Linked DNA regions of Cricetulus griseus. The protein of the gene in region 1 interacts with the protein of each later gene in a pairwise test. Links are inferred from orthologs where the notes say so. Each region holds a gene or a part of one and is shown in the gene's direction. Other genes may lie near its edges.

Region 1 (7,353 bases):
TAATCCTACATTGAGGCAAGAGATTGAAGTTTGAGACCAGGATAGGTACTCTCTTATGGCTAGCTAGCATGTGCAGGGTCCTGAGGTCAAGCCCCGGTGTCTTAAAATAAAACAAGAAAAAGAAAAGAAATATATCCTGTCAGTAGTGACTTCTTTTGGAAAACCTTTCAGAATGCTTGTTTTTATATTTCCTCTGTCTTTGCTGCACGTTCATTCAAATTATTTGTGTTGAGCACATGTAATGAATAAAAAACTAATTTAAATTTATTTGTAAAAGCAAAACATCTAGCCTTTTTAGTCTAGATATGTAATAGCTTAAATATCAAAATACATATTTTGTTGCTTTAAAATGTTTTATTCATTAACCAGTTAATAGCAATCATAATCAGTTTGATACCCATATACCTCATCATAATATTGAAATGATAGAAGAATTCTCTGGTATTTTTATTAATTACATTTTGATTTTAAACTAAATTTCTACATTTTGCTAAGGAAGCTTGATATTAAAGAAAATAATTAACTATTAACTCATTTTTTTCTTACAGGTTTCACCTTGCTTAAATGTCTTATCACGATTGTTGTTTAGCAGTGATCCAGATGTGTTAGCAGATGTGTGCTGGGCCCTTTCTTATCTCTCTGATGGACCTAATGATAAAATTCAAGTAGTCATTGATTCTGGAGTCTGTCGAAGATTGGTGGAACTATTGATGTAACTATAATTTTCACTTAGTTATGTTATTGTATACTAAGTTTAACAGTTAAGATCATGTCCTTAAATATTTCAAAATGTCAACATCTATAGGAAGAATTGAAAAGTTACTAACTCTGCCCTTTATAGAGTAGCTATAATCCTTAAATACTGGTCCATCAATAAACATTTCTGAAGTACAAGGGAATTATTTTGTAAATTAATCTCTGTATGAATGAAACTTTTCTTTATGAAGAAGCCTTAACTTAACAAACATATGTAGAATGTCTGTTAGCACCAAAGGTGACATGTGAATGTTATTAGGGAGAGAAAACAGTTATTGTTTTTACAGAACCAATAGCCTAGTTTATTATTCTTTACAATAATTAACTTGTATATAAAGCTAGAAAATTTATTTAGTGTCTCCATGATCTTTCTCTTACTGGATAATCATTACTACCATTGTTGAAAAATCCCAGTTTTTCCATGCAAAGAAATTAAAAGAAAATTTTGTTTAAAAAGGTGCTGTAGTTTCTTTATCCTCCAACCTTCTTTAAAATTGTTTTTGTTTTGTCAAAAAGCCATTGGTAGTAAACCAGGCATGGTAGTTTATGCCTTTAGTTCCAGCACTTGAGGCAGGGGCAGGTGGATCTCTGAGATTCAGGCACAGCAAGTTCCAGACCAGCCAGAGCTACATAGTGAGACCCTGACTCTGAGAACAAAATAAAAACAAAAGGCCTTTAGTTAGTCCAAGTGTGGCAGATGGCACAAAAAATAGAGTTGTGTTAAAGGGCTGATTTCCAGTGTGAGCTAGACAGATGCAGTGGGATGGTCAAGGCCTTAGCTTGAGAATGACTTCTACCAGAGTGGGCAGCCAAGCAGGCCAGAACAAGGTTCAGAGCCAAAACTCATGGCCTGGTAGCCTCTCTTGTTAAATTATCGATATGTAGGAGGATGTGAACTAAAGTAACTGGCTTCTAGTCGTGAAGGGAAAAGGCCTTTGATGTTAGATTAGAATTAAATCTCTCACTATAAACTCACTGCTTTCAAAATAAGGACCTTTTTACGTACACTTGTATACATGTGCATTAAGGCTTTTGGAAGAGGGACACCTCTCTAGAAATAAGGTGAGCGCTCTGAGGGCACAACCCTTGGTTTCTAAATATCACTGCTCATTTAAGGGAAGTAGCTTTCTTAGAGAAATTATTGGATTAGAATGAGGAAAAATGAGATGAACACAGAAAATAATGAGCTTGGAAATAAATTACAGTAATGTATTATTATAAATTAGTGAATAGCAACAACCCAAGAGTCCACATTAAAATATGTGGATGGATCAATAGATAGGCAAGGCGTATGATGGAGATGATAGTTTTGCAAAATGATTATTAAAAATACAAATAATTACTAATTCAGATAATGAGCATATAGATACTAACACTAGTGTACGGGATGGGTTCATTCCTGAAAATATACATGTAAGTAACATTATGTGGACTGAAAAGTTATATTTAGGAATATATATGTGTGTAGATATACATTCAGTAACAAGAGACCATGTTGTGGAAAAAGAGACCATGAATTTGAAGAACAGAGGAAGGGGGTATGTGGGAGGACTTGGAGGGAAAAAAGGTAAGGGAGGAGTGTTGTAATTATGATTTCTAAAATAAAGTAAATAGGCTAAAGAATGGGATTTTTACATGGTCTCAAATAGTCATCAAATACTGAGTATAAAGGAGAAATTGGAATAGTGAAGAATAACATATCAATCTTAATTAGTACAGAGTTTAGTACCACAATAATGAGACAGAGTATATACAATATGTCACCCAATAAGATATAATGAGGTTATATAGTGTTTGATACTGCTTTAGATTTTTTTGCTTTTTCAAATATTAGTAAGTGAAAATTGAGTAGGAGCTCTGAGTGAAGAAAATGAAAGTTGTCTATAATTTTTTCAACTTTATATAGATTTTACCTTATTGATGTAAAAGCTCATATTTTTATTTTTAGGCACAATGACTATAAAGTTGTATCACCTGCATTAAGAGCAGTTGGTAATATTGTGACTGGTGACGATATTCAAACACAGGTGAGTTCAGAATTTACAGCACACTGTTAGATGATTGTTTCATGTCACTTGATTTTATATTCATCAAGGCCTTATTACTATAACTATACAGGCATCTGTGGCAGTAAGCACAGTTTTCAACTTCAGTTACCTTATTGGGATGGTACTATCATAGAGCCCCATCAGCCAAAATATACCAAGTGTTCTGCTCAGAGGTTTCAGAACCTTTTTAATTTGGTCTTCTCTTGTACAATACACCCTGACTGCAGCTTCCCCTCCCTCCACTCCCCCAGGGACATCAGCTGGACATGGCATGACAAGTGCAATAAGGCCAGGTAACCCTCACATCAAGGCTAGGTTAGGCAACCCAGTAGTAGGAAAAGGGTTTGAGGAACAGGCAAAAAAGTCAGAAACACCCCCACTCCCACTGTCAGGTGTCCCTTTAAAACACCAAGCCAGCAACCAATGCACAGGACCTAGCACAGACTCATGCAGGCTCTGTGATTGCTACTTCAGTCTCTGTAGGTTACCATGAACCCTGCTTAGTTGACCCCCATGCCTTTTGGACTGTGTTCTCGTGGTGTGCTCAGTCTCTCTGGCTCCCATAATTCCTCCTACCCTTTTTCAGTAGGGCAAGCTCCATAGGGAGGGACCTGATGGAGACCTCCAACCTGGGCTCTCTGTCTGCCTAATGTTTGGATTCAGAATCTTAGCTAGGTAGAAGTCATTGAAATAAAGCAAAGTGCCCAGCTAACTCAATCAGTAGAGCTTGAGACCCAAAACAAGGCAGACTAACAAGGCAATGCATGTGCTACGAGCTGATCATCCAGTAAGTGCTTTAAAAGTTTATAAAAAAAAAAAAGATGAGTATGATGAGGTCTGTAATTTCTGTAGATAAGTGGAATTATAAATAAGTAGAGTAGTACTTCAGCAGATGAGACAAGATTTACCGTTATAAGGAGAAAGGCAGATAAATTGAGGTATATTTAAGAACTTAGCTAGAAGTTGTGATTTATTATATGTAGGTTATAGGACATAAGAATCAGATTATGAGACCAAAGGGAAGATAGCAAGGAAATGGTTCCAGAATTGGTGATAAACTGTGCACCCATGCCTGTTTTGGGAGAATGGTAAGATGTTAAGATTGACTCCAGATGTTGACTAGTGTTCTATTTTGATACTCACCAAAGTTGTTAAATGAGTAAGCATTTAAGGGTAGCTCTCTATATTGGAATACACTGCACTTACCAGCTAAATTTTCAAGGCACTGATGCTGCATCCCTTTCACCCTCACTAAATCGAAAATTGTGGATGATTGTGAATAAAGGACAAAGTAGACAATACTTATGCCAGTTGGTTTTGTCAGAGACAGCATCTCAGTAGGAGCTCTGACTGGCTTTGAACTCATAGAAACCTACTTGTCTCTGCTTTTTAAATACTGGGATTAAAGGCATGTGCCACGCAATACTTCATTATAAAAACCACATTCTAAAAACAGTACAGATTTATTCTTTACTTCAAAATTTTTATAATGCTGTAGAAATGTGTATGAGAAAGAATATCATTTAGTAATTTGTTATGAAAATGAGGTTAAACCCTCTCTTCCATCACAAAGTCATTCTTCAAGTAATTTTCTAAGTTGAATTTTGCAGATATTTCTATGGGTATGACCAGAAATCATAACTTTTTCAAAGTCTTGAGTTTCAAGACTCCCCTACTTGATTCAAAACATAATCTGTGCTGATAGTGCTATAGTTGTATTACTTTAATTTGTATATTTGAAGAACATGTCTCTGATTCACACTCTAGTGGAGAACTGCATTAGCACTACATAAGCTTTCTAGCAGCAGGGTGTACAAGTTAGCAGTTGCCTAAATTTCACCTCCAGAGGAATTTATTTCTTTGTTTTTCAGATTGATTTCTGTACTTCAGTAATTCATAAGAAGTTTGCATTTATACTAAAACCCTTTTTTTCTGTTTTACCCATTTAGGTCATTTTGAATTGTTCTGCATTGCCCTGCCTCTTGCACTTGTTGGGTAGTCCAAAGGAGTCAATTAGAAAGGAAGCCTGCTGGACCATTTCTAACATCACTGCGGGAAACAGAGCTCAGATCCAGGTAATCGCCTTTCAGAGTTGAGATTACAATAGGAAGGTCTAAGCTGAGATGCCTGGCGTTCAACATGGCCTTTTCTTCTCTAAATAATACCATTTGTGTTTTGTATTCTAGTGAGGAACAATAATTACATATATAAAAGTATCTGATACATGAAATTAGTCTTGAGAAATAGATGGTTTCTGCTGAGCACAGTGGCTCATACTGGTACTTAAAAGGCTGAAGCAGAAGATTGTGATTTTGAGGCCAAATGGGCTATACAGGGACACCTTGTCTGAGGGGAAAAAAGATTTTTAAAAAAGGTGTAGCATAAGATTTAAACTAGACTGAGTCAGGATGATGATTTTTGAGGCCCAAATGAACTGCATGGGGAGACCCTGTCTGGGCAGGGTTCCATCAGTTTTAAATGTTGGGAATTGTCTTTCAGATGGCTTTCAGTGTTTATTAGGTTCTGTCAAGTTTCTTGAGCCAAAGAATACTTACCCATTTGGTTAATCACATGCCTACAGTTAATCACCTTTGATGTGTATTTTTACTGATGCATTCTCCAATCTTTAAAAAAAAAAAGCTCATTTCTTTTTACAAAAGAAATCAATTAAAGTGTTGACAGATGACAAACAGAATCTTTCTAAACCCTCTCACATTTTAAGATTTTTAAAATTGTGTGTATGCTTGTGTGCCTGTGTGAGTTATGGAAAGCACAAAGTGTACAGGTCTTGTGGCAGCCAGGGTATCTGATCCCCTGGAACTGGAGGTACAGGTCATTGTGAGCACCTAATGTGGTTGCTACCAACCCAACCCAGGTCCTCTGCAGAGAGCAACAAGTGCTTGTAACTGCCGAGCCATCCTCCAGCACACTCACTCTTTAAAGCCTTACTCTTGAAGTGCCCATGTGGCAGTTCTGAAACAGTATTTGCACTAATTGTGTTGGATCATTTTTTCTTCTTAGGCTGTCATAGATGCAAGTATTTTCCCTGTTTTGATCGAGGTTCTCCAGAAAGCAGAATTTCGTACCAGAAAAGAAGCAGCGTGGGCTATAACTAATGCCACATCGGGAGGCACTCCAGAGCAAATAAGGTGGATTCCGATTCTTTAACATTGTCTTTTAAATACCAGTCAGACAGTATGAAAAAAACATTTTTATTTATTGGTGAAACTAACATTTTTATGTCTGTTTGATATACAGAGATTAGAATTTCAAATAGGAAGAATTTGTTGATTAGCAGAATATACTGTCATGAGCATTAGATATGTTTTAAGCATTAAAATTAATTAGCTATTATATAGAAGTAACAGATATGAATATCAACTTGTTTAAAGTAAAATAAAAGTATGCATTTGTTCATTGTGCTCTCTCCTTATTGACTGTTGCCTTGCCAGCAGATAGGGTAATACTTCTGTGCACTACTTGTCTTTTTCCTTCTGTACTAGGTTTTCTAATCTATGCCTTTTATTATGTATAATACTGACCGCATTCATAGTTGATACATGATTTTAAGTAAGCCTGGCCAAGTCCTGGTCAAGTCCTGCTCCTTCAGTAAAACTTGTGACAGGATCAATTTTGACAGAGTCATTTAACCTTTCTAGTCCAGTTTCTTCTTGCTAATGAATTGAGTAACCATATCAAAAGTGAAATGTATGCACTTCACATGCACAGCACAGTGCTTAATGAGCATTAGGTTCTCAAGTAGAATAAAGTACTGGTGTCTTTTGGAATTGTCATTTTCAAGTATTGATTTCAGTCTTTTTGTATCGTATATCTTCAGTCTACAGCAAAGACACACATTGTACCTCAAATAAGCTTGACTTCTCTACATAATCTCATTCTTATGCCCTTCACAAAACTTGAAGTCACTATTTAAGAAACAGTTTCTAATGAATATATAACTCTTAAAAACGTATAAAATTAGTCAAATTATGATGCTATTTTAATGAACCAAAGGATTTTTAAGTCTACCAAATGTTAGATCATTATCTTGTTTGTTTCTTATATTTTTAGAGACAAATTCATACCATTGTCTGCCTTTTTTAGTGCCATACACCTTTCTTATAAAATAGTACAATATTTGACAATATATGTATACATACATGTATATGTGTGTAAGTGTGTGTGTGTGTGTGTGTGTGTGTGTGTGTGTGTGTGTGTATTGAGACATGATCTCACTGTGTTGCTATGGCTTATCTGGAATTTACTATATAGACCAGGCTGGCCTTGAACTCAGAGACATTTATTGGCTTTTGCCTCCTGATTGTTGGGAATAAAGGTGTGTACTAGTATGCCCTTTGGGGGAAAATATTTTAAAATAAGTCATCTGTAACTCTATTATGCTAACAGGTATTTTCATTATCCACCTTTTCTTTTTGTAACTTATTCTCATTATTTCCCTGGCCAGGCTTCCAAGTGCTGGAGCTATAATGTGCCACTGCACCTCGATAGACCATTGTCTTTCATTACCTTCATAGATACTGTCACCTTT
Region 2 (7,337 bases), about 160 Mb from region 1:
CTCAGTACTCTGGAGGAAGACCGTTAAATTGGTCTGTTGACATTATGGAGGAAGGCAGATTTCGGTTTCTTTCAGTGAAGATGTCCCGATAGATTTAAAGGGGTCTTCAACAGTTGAAAATGTTGAAGCAGTTTTTAATCACTTTACTAAGTCCCGTTATATATTCGTGTTTGAGCTTATGTTTGTTGTTTTTTCTGCCATCCATCCCACTCCCTCAGTTTTGCTAGTTTCACTTTTTCTGTGTAGAGCGGACCATTTCCAAGTTACAGATAATGCCCTGCGTTTTGCTGTATCCAAGGACATTTAATAATTGTTCATTGTAGACTTGTAACCCAGAGAAGAAAAGAATGGCTGTCCTGTTTAAAGAGGAAACTGAGTTTAGAAAGCTTAAGTAATTATTTGGAATTAATGGCAGGATCAAATCCAAATTCAATTAATTTTCCATTGCCCTTGGGACCTGTTTTCTTTCTACATGTAAATTGAGTCTATACCTAAATTTCAGGAAAATCAAATTCCCAGAGAAATACTGACACTGACACACTTCCCCATGGTCTTGTGCCAACCCTGTGTTTATTGCTTGGTGCCAGATCTCTTTATTCTGGGCTGTGCCAAGCTGAGGACTAGCACCCCTTATATAGGGGTGGGTGTGGGGGTGTGTGTTTTAAACGGAGAGTATCTTTCCTTGCTGATAACCAGCTGGTTGTCTTGGAGGCTGAATCCTCTGGGAATCCTGTGTCAATGTTATTAGCACTGAGGCAGAGCACAGACAAATACTGTGCATGGATTGTTTGCTTGAGTGTTCCTGTTCTGGGCTGTAAGAGAGTAGGGTCCCAAGACAGTGAAAGAGAAGTGTGTAATCTTTGTTGTTATGCTTGTACTACTGTAGTGGGTGTGCTATAATGGTGCCCTGTAGAGCCTATGGTAGTTGTTAAAAAACGTCTCTACAAAGTGAATAGAAATAGTATGGCCCTTATTTTACATTGAGGGAACTAAGGCTTAGATGATGCTCCGACATAACTGGCAGAGCTACCATGGCTCGGTACTCCCAAAGCTGCTTGGAAAAGCATGAGCTAGGTTGGCCTCATGTTTCTCACCTAGAATAAAGGAAATCTGTAGGAAAGGTTTAGTGGGGGAGACTCTAGATCCATTTTTGACTTGTGAATGTTCTAGAGTGGGGAAAACACCATCCTCATCCTCATCACCACACATTGTGAACACTGCGTTGAGCCCAGTTTTGACAGGCAATGCAATGATTGTGAATGCCTCTGCTTGCTACAGGGACATTAACGAGAGACAAAGAAGGCATCAGTTCAAACTTCCTGGGACACGTTTTTTAAGAGACCTGGGCCATCCAAATCATCCCCCAAAGCCCTTCTAAATTCTAAGAAGGCAAGCAATATTATTGTTAATAAAAATGTTTAATGTTTATTATGGCTAGCCTATTAGCTTAGGTCAAGTTTCTGACGTGGTACAGTTGTTAAGTTTTCAGCAGGGTTTTACATATCACATTGAGATCCTGTATAATCTGTATTTTGAGCCTGCTGGGCTGTAAGTACAATTTTACTGCTTTAAACAATCTGCAGAGTGCTGTACTTCTGTTGGGTTTGTTACTGTTAACTTGCTTATATTTGATTTCCTACTATACTGTTTGGCATGTCCAAATTATTTGATAATGGGTGCTTTGTCAAACATCTAAGATCAATGCTGTTCAGAAACAGGATTTCCTCGGTGGCCCTGTAAAGTAGTTTCACCAGTGGCCCACTCCACTGGGTAAATAATTTTAGGCAATCCAGGGATCGTGATGTATAACGTCGTCCCAGCTACCCGAGGGGCCAAAGCAAGAGGACTGAGACAAAGGCTTCGTGGTGAGACATACACTTCAGAAAAGGGAGGAGCACATTAGAGTAAACTTTTGTAGGAAGCTGTGTAAATTGATTTTCCTTTTATGTCTTACTTGGAATAGAGTCGGCTCTTACTATAGCCAGGTATGGTATAGAACTCTTAGATCTTAAGATTGAGATTGACGGGGGAGGGGGGTCGGGAGTTTTAGGACAACCTGGGCAATATAAAAAGGCTCTGTCTCCAAAAAGAAAGCTAGTAAACAACCTGTGCTGGTTATTTGGGATGCTGTTACAGCATTTTTTCCTCTTTGGCAAGAAATCATACCTGGGTTTCTAAGGTCATGGCCTGCCCAGTAGGAAACCTAATCTGAAAGTCGCCTGCTAGAAAATCAGCCACCCCTAGAACTGGCAGGGCTGAGCCTGCCTTCCCGAGACATCTGAGAGCTGGCTTTCGTAAGCACTCTTAAAGCATTGTACATTGTGTGTTCGATTGTGGGTATGACATCTGTCTATAACCCTGTTGCTGGGTTTTCCCTGGTTCTGTGTTCCAGAGACTACTCTTGGCAATAAAGCTTATGTAAGCCTTTTCCTGGTGAGGGGATGAAGAGTCTTCTGTAAGGGTCAACAGCCCTTTCCTTGAGGGTCAGATAATGCAAACATGAAGCTTGGTTGGCAGTAGTCTGTATCATAGCTCCTCAACTGTCAGTATAGTCTGAGAGGAGGTGTGTGATAGATGAGCAGATGAGTGTTGTGTGCCAGTAAAACTTGGTTTTAGCTGGGCATTGTGGCGCCTGCCTTTGCTCCTAGCACTTGGGAGACAGGTGCAGACTTGGTTTGGGGCCAGTCGGGGCCATATAGAGAGACCCTGTCTTAGAAACAAAGCTTTAGTTTACAAAATTAGTTATTGAGCCAGATTAGCCCCTTTTAAAACCAACCTTGAAAGCAGAGAATTACAGAGATGCCTTCAGTCCTGAAACAAAGTTCTTTGGATCCAAGTTTCTTCTATGTTGTGTGAAGTGTCATTGTTAGATTTGTTAAAACTTGCTTCATCCAGAGCCTTTTGAGTGTGTGTAGGGGGGGTCTCATGTAGCTGACAATGACTTTGACTTTATGATCGTTTAGCCTCCTGTGTGCTGAGATCACAGGCCTGCCCTACCACACTTGGTTTACGTGGTACTGGGGATCAAATCCATGGCTCTGGGCAAACTATCAAATGAGCTACTTCCTTGTCCCCATATTGATTTTGTTGTTGTTGTTGTTTAGTTTTGTAAGAGGACCAAACTTTTAATTTTTAGAATTAATAAAAGTTGAATGTGTATCTGTCTGTGTACACACATGTAAGAAAGTCACCTGTACTGTAGTAGGCTATTTGTACTATTTTAGAAGGTAGCATACTGTATTTGACAATGCCTTAAGTTTACTTTAGAGAAGTCTGGTAATGTTAACCTCTTCCAAAGATCTTAAAAGAGACAAAAGGAGTGTGAGGTTTCTCTGTTGGTGAAATTTAAGCTCTTGGGTACCCTTCTGCCCAGGCTGGCATACCTCGTGCCAGGTTTCACTCCATCCTCCAGTGCTGCTCATGGGTGGGCCCTGGGTACATTTCAGCTAGATCACACTTAGACTCCTGTTGCTACCGGGAAAAGACATTGTTTTCTAGGGGAGCCAGAAGCATAGTGTGTTCCTGTGTACAGGGATGAATGGGTAGCAACTAATATGGAGCTTAGACTTTTACCTCTTGAAAGTGGTTTGGTAACTTGTTCTTTTGATTTAGGAATTGTGTTTTTTGGTTCTTTCTTTTAGAAAAAGCTGGATTGTCTTAAAAGTTTGGATCTGTTTGGCTGTGAGGTCACTAATTTGAATGATTATCGGGAGAGTGTCTTTAAGCTCCTGCCCCAGTTGTCCTATCTGGATGGCTATGACCGGGAGGACCAGGAAGCACCTGACTCGGATGTGGAGGTGGATGGTGTAGAGGAAGCCCCCGACTCCGATGCCGAGGTGGATGGTGTGGACAAGGAGGAAGAGGATGAAGGTGAGTAAACTGGGTATCTTGTGACCTGACTTCTGTCTTTCTAGAGCCCTGGCAGTGATTCTGCTCAGTGTGTGTGCGCCTGTGTTCCTGTTTCGTTCTATAAACTCTTCGGGCTTTTAACCCTAAAATCCTTGAAAATCAAATGGCTTTATTAGCCCCAGGGTTTTTTTTTTTTATTTTTCTGTGGAGCCAAGTGTTCAGTGGCTGCTTCATGCAAGTCCTTTGTATGCTTGAAGAGCTTGTTCTGTCATCCCTTCCTTGGCTCTGCTTACTGTCCTTCCTAGTTCAGTGCCTGGCCCACAAACTTCAAGGCACATTATCTTAGGTTCTGCTTGGGGGGGGGGGTGTTCAAGACAGGGTTTCTGTGTGGCTTTGGAGGCTATGAGGCTGGTCTGGAACTCACAGAGATCTGTCTGCCTCTGCCTCCTGAGTGCTGAGATTAAAGGCGTGTGCTACCACTGCCCAACTAGGTTCTGCTTTTTTATTCATGAAAGTATTAAAAGTTTTTCATGTGCTTAAGTGTCTTTATATTTTTTGAGTGAATCTGGATAGTCTTTGAAATTGAAAGCCAGGAGTGGTGGTTTAGCACTTTTGAAAACGTACAAGAAAGCAAAGGAGGAAAGACATAAGTCCTTAGTTACAGTTATACAGGGGGGTTAGTTTGCAGCAGCTGGAGACAGGCAAAATTAATGGGATACAAGAGGATAGTGAGCCGAGTAGGTCAGTTCACCCTATTCAAAGTGTCCATATCCAGTTATTCCTAAGTTATTTGTAGTTCTGTAAGTTCACTGTAAATACCACATTCTGCCATTGAGCTATATACCTTAGTTAGCCACTTGTGATAGCAAAACAGCCCAAGGGTGAGGATATGTTGCTCAATAGTAGAAGGCTTGCTTGACTTGTGGAAGGCCCTTAGTTCTTTCTTGAGGACAGCAAAAGAAAAATTAAAAAAGACAAGACTGTAATCGTCTGGAGCTCAAGCAAAGGGTGCTGAAATGAAGAGGCACCAAGTGCCTGAGAGAGACAGAAGGAGGCAGGAAGGAAGTAGGGACTGAAAGTCAGTCTGGGGATAGGCAGGTGGAACTGGAAGGACAGCAGGCAGGAGCCCACAGTGAACTGGAGGCTTTTGAAGGGGACAGCACTGGGGATCCAGGAGCCCAGACTATTCTGTGGCCAGGGTTTAAGCCTTAAAGAGTTCCTGACTTCACAGCTGCTATCAGGTACTTGTTCCTAGAGTGGCTTGTCATTTTTGTTTGGAGGAGCAGGTGTTGAGACTGTCTTGGGTAGCTGGGGCTGGTCATAAACTCCTGGATTTTTCAGGCATGGCCGGAGTAGAAAGCCCTCTTCCTGTAGAAATTGAGGCAGATTTCATTCAGTAAGAATATGGGCCGGGCGGTTGTAGCACACACCTTTAATCCCAGCACTCAGGAGGCAGAGGCAGGTGGATCTCTGAGTTCGAGACCAGCCTAGTCCTCAAGAGCTAGTTCCTGGACAGCCTCCAAAGCCACAAAGAAACCCTGTCTCAAAACAAAAGAATATAGATTATTATTTGAAACTTCTTGATTTTAGGATACTCCTTTGGGATTAAGAAGGGGGGGTAGCTCTAAGTCTTTCCTAGTGTTTGTAGAGCCTACCAACTTATTGTAAGCCAACTTTGACCTTTTCCAGTTAAACCCTGTGGGTCATCAAGGTTATTCAGTAATTTCTTCCTTTCTTTTGGTTTTTTGAGACAGCGTTTCTCTGTGTGGCCCCAGAGATTCACCTGCCTCTGCCTCTGAAGTACTGGGGTTAAAAGTATGCCCAGATTTAGTAATTTCTCTTTTGGATTATTTCAGAAGGAGAAGATGAAGATGAAGAAGAAGATGAGGATGGTGAAGAAGAGGAGGATGATGAAGAAGAGGATGAAGATGAAGACGAAGATGTAGAAGGAGAAGATGATGAAGATGAAGTCAGTGGGGAGGTAATGTGACTGTTTTCTTCCCTTCTGTTAGTGTAAAGACAAAGAGGTGTGGTAGGAAGACAGGCAAAGGCTGATAATGGCAGCTTTTGTCTTAATATGGGATATGCCTACTCAATGCTGCCTAGATACATAATAGCACTTAATGTCTGAATTACCTTTCAAGTTACCAAAGAAATTATGTAGAGTTGTGGTCCAAAGTTCTACATTGAAAGAGTAGATAGCTGAGTTTTGTAAAGTATTTTATGCCTACAATCCCAGAACCTGGGAGGCAGAAGCAGAAGGTCTCAAGTTCAAGACCTGCCTAGGCTAAACAAGACTGTGTCTTCAAAATTGTTTGTACAGGGTCCTGGGTTATAGCCCTACACCACAAACAGAGAAAAATCTGTCCAAACCAGTACTGCAGTGTTAAAAACATTTATTGAGGTTTCTGTTTTAAGTTGCATGCTAATTAAAGCTTACCTGGTGAACTGCTTACTTCTGAACATTGCTATTTTAAGGATAATTTTATTTTACTTACTGAACCGAGGTCTCACTTCGTAGCTTATGATAGACTAAATGTTTGACCACCTGTCCACCCCATCCCTTTTTAGTGGTTAGGATAACAACCACTAAAAATACAGGCTGTGCCTGAATGTGTGTATATGAGTTGTTTACATATATGTCTATATATTACATACATTCCTGGTACCCTCTGAAGTCAGAGAGAGCATTGGATTCCTAGGACTGGAGTTACAGCTAGCAGGTGGTGCTGGGAACCAAATGTAGGTCTTCTGAATGAACATACAAGACTTAACTTCTGAGCCATCTCTCCAGAATTTTGCTCATTTAAAAAAAAAAAATAGCATCTCTGTGCAGCCAACGACCTAAAAATAACAGTTTCACCCTAATGTGTTATTATAACTGTTTTAAAGTATATCCCTCTTTCCATTTAATTTTTTATGAGGGATTGGTGGGGGGGGGTGTTATGTAGCTCAGGCTAGACTTGAATTCCTAATCCACCATATCCAATTGCTAGATTAACAGTTGTGAGCCATCAACCCTGATTTTCTTTGTGTGTGTGTGTGAGAGAGAGAGAGAGAGTTCACACCCATAACGTGACCTGCATGGAGACATAGGACAACTTTTGAGAGTTGTTCACTTTTTTTTGATTCTCCTGTTTTATCTGTGGGTTCCACTGAGTGGTCTTAGATTGCCAGGGTTTCATCTTTACTGGTTGATTGAGCTGTGTGTCTTAGCAGAATCCAGTGATGTTAAGCTGTTCTCTGTGTTTAGGATGAAGAGTTTGGGCATGATGGAGAAGTTGATGAAGATGAAGAGGATGAGGATGAGGATGAGGATGAAGGTGGGCCTGGTGCACATGCTTCCTTTTCTCTTAGTCAAAAAATTAGATGAAAGCTGGGGGATGGTGGTGCACGCCTCCCGCCCCCCGGAAGCAGAGGCAGGTGAACCTCTTGATTTCGAGGCCAGCCTGGTCTCCAGAGTGAGTTTCCAGGACAGGCTCCAAAGC

The links. The genes of interacting proteins can lie anywhere in the genome.
Region 2: the proteins of Kpna5 (region 1) and Anp32b interact in binary tests that used the Homo sapiens proteins (3 or more experiments, as listed by UniProt). The two-hybrid records come from large-scale screens. The link is inferred for Cricetulus griseus from reciprocal best matches to the Homo sapiens genes KPNA5 and ANP32B.

What each region holds. Positions count from the first base shown.
Region 1 is NC_048595.1:257,197,456-257,204,808, reverse strand, and holds part of Kpna5 (importin subunit alpha-6), read left to right. Parts: intron 1-548; coding exon 549-712; intron 713-2,704; coding exon 2,705-2,783; intron 2,784-4,753; coding exon 4,754-4,879; intron 4,880-5,825; coding exon 5,826-5,953; intron 5,954-7,353. UniProt on the Homo sapiens protein: Functions in nuclear protein import as an adapter protein for nuclear receptor KPNB1. Binds specifically and directly to substrates containing either a simple or bipartite NLS motif.
Region 2 is NC_048595.1:96,951,749-96,959,085, reverse strand, and holds part of Anp32b (acidic leucine-rich nuclear phosphoprotein 32 family member B), read left to right. Parts: intron 1-3,641; coding exon 3,642-3,870; intron 3,871-5,705; coding exon 5,706-5,830; intron 5,831-7,102; coding exon 7,103-7,172; intron 7,173-7,337. UniProt on the Homo sapiens protein: Multifunctional protein that is involved in the regulation of many processes including cell proliferation, apoptosis, cell cycle progression or transcription.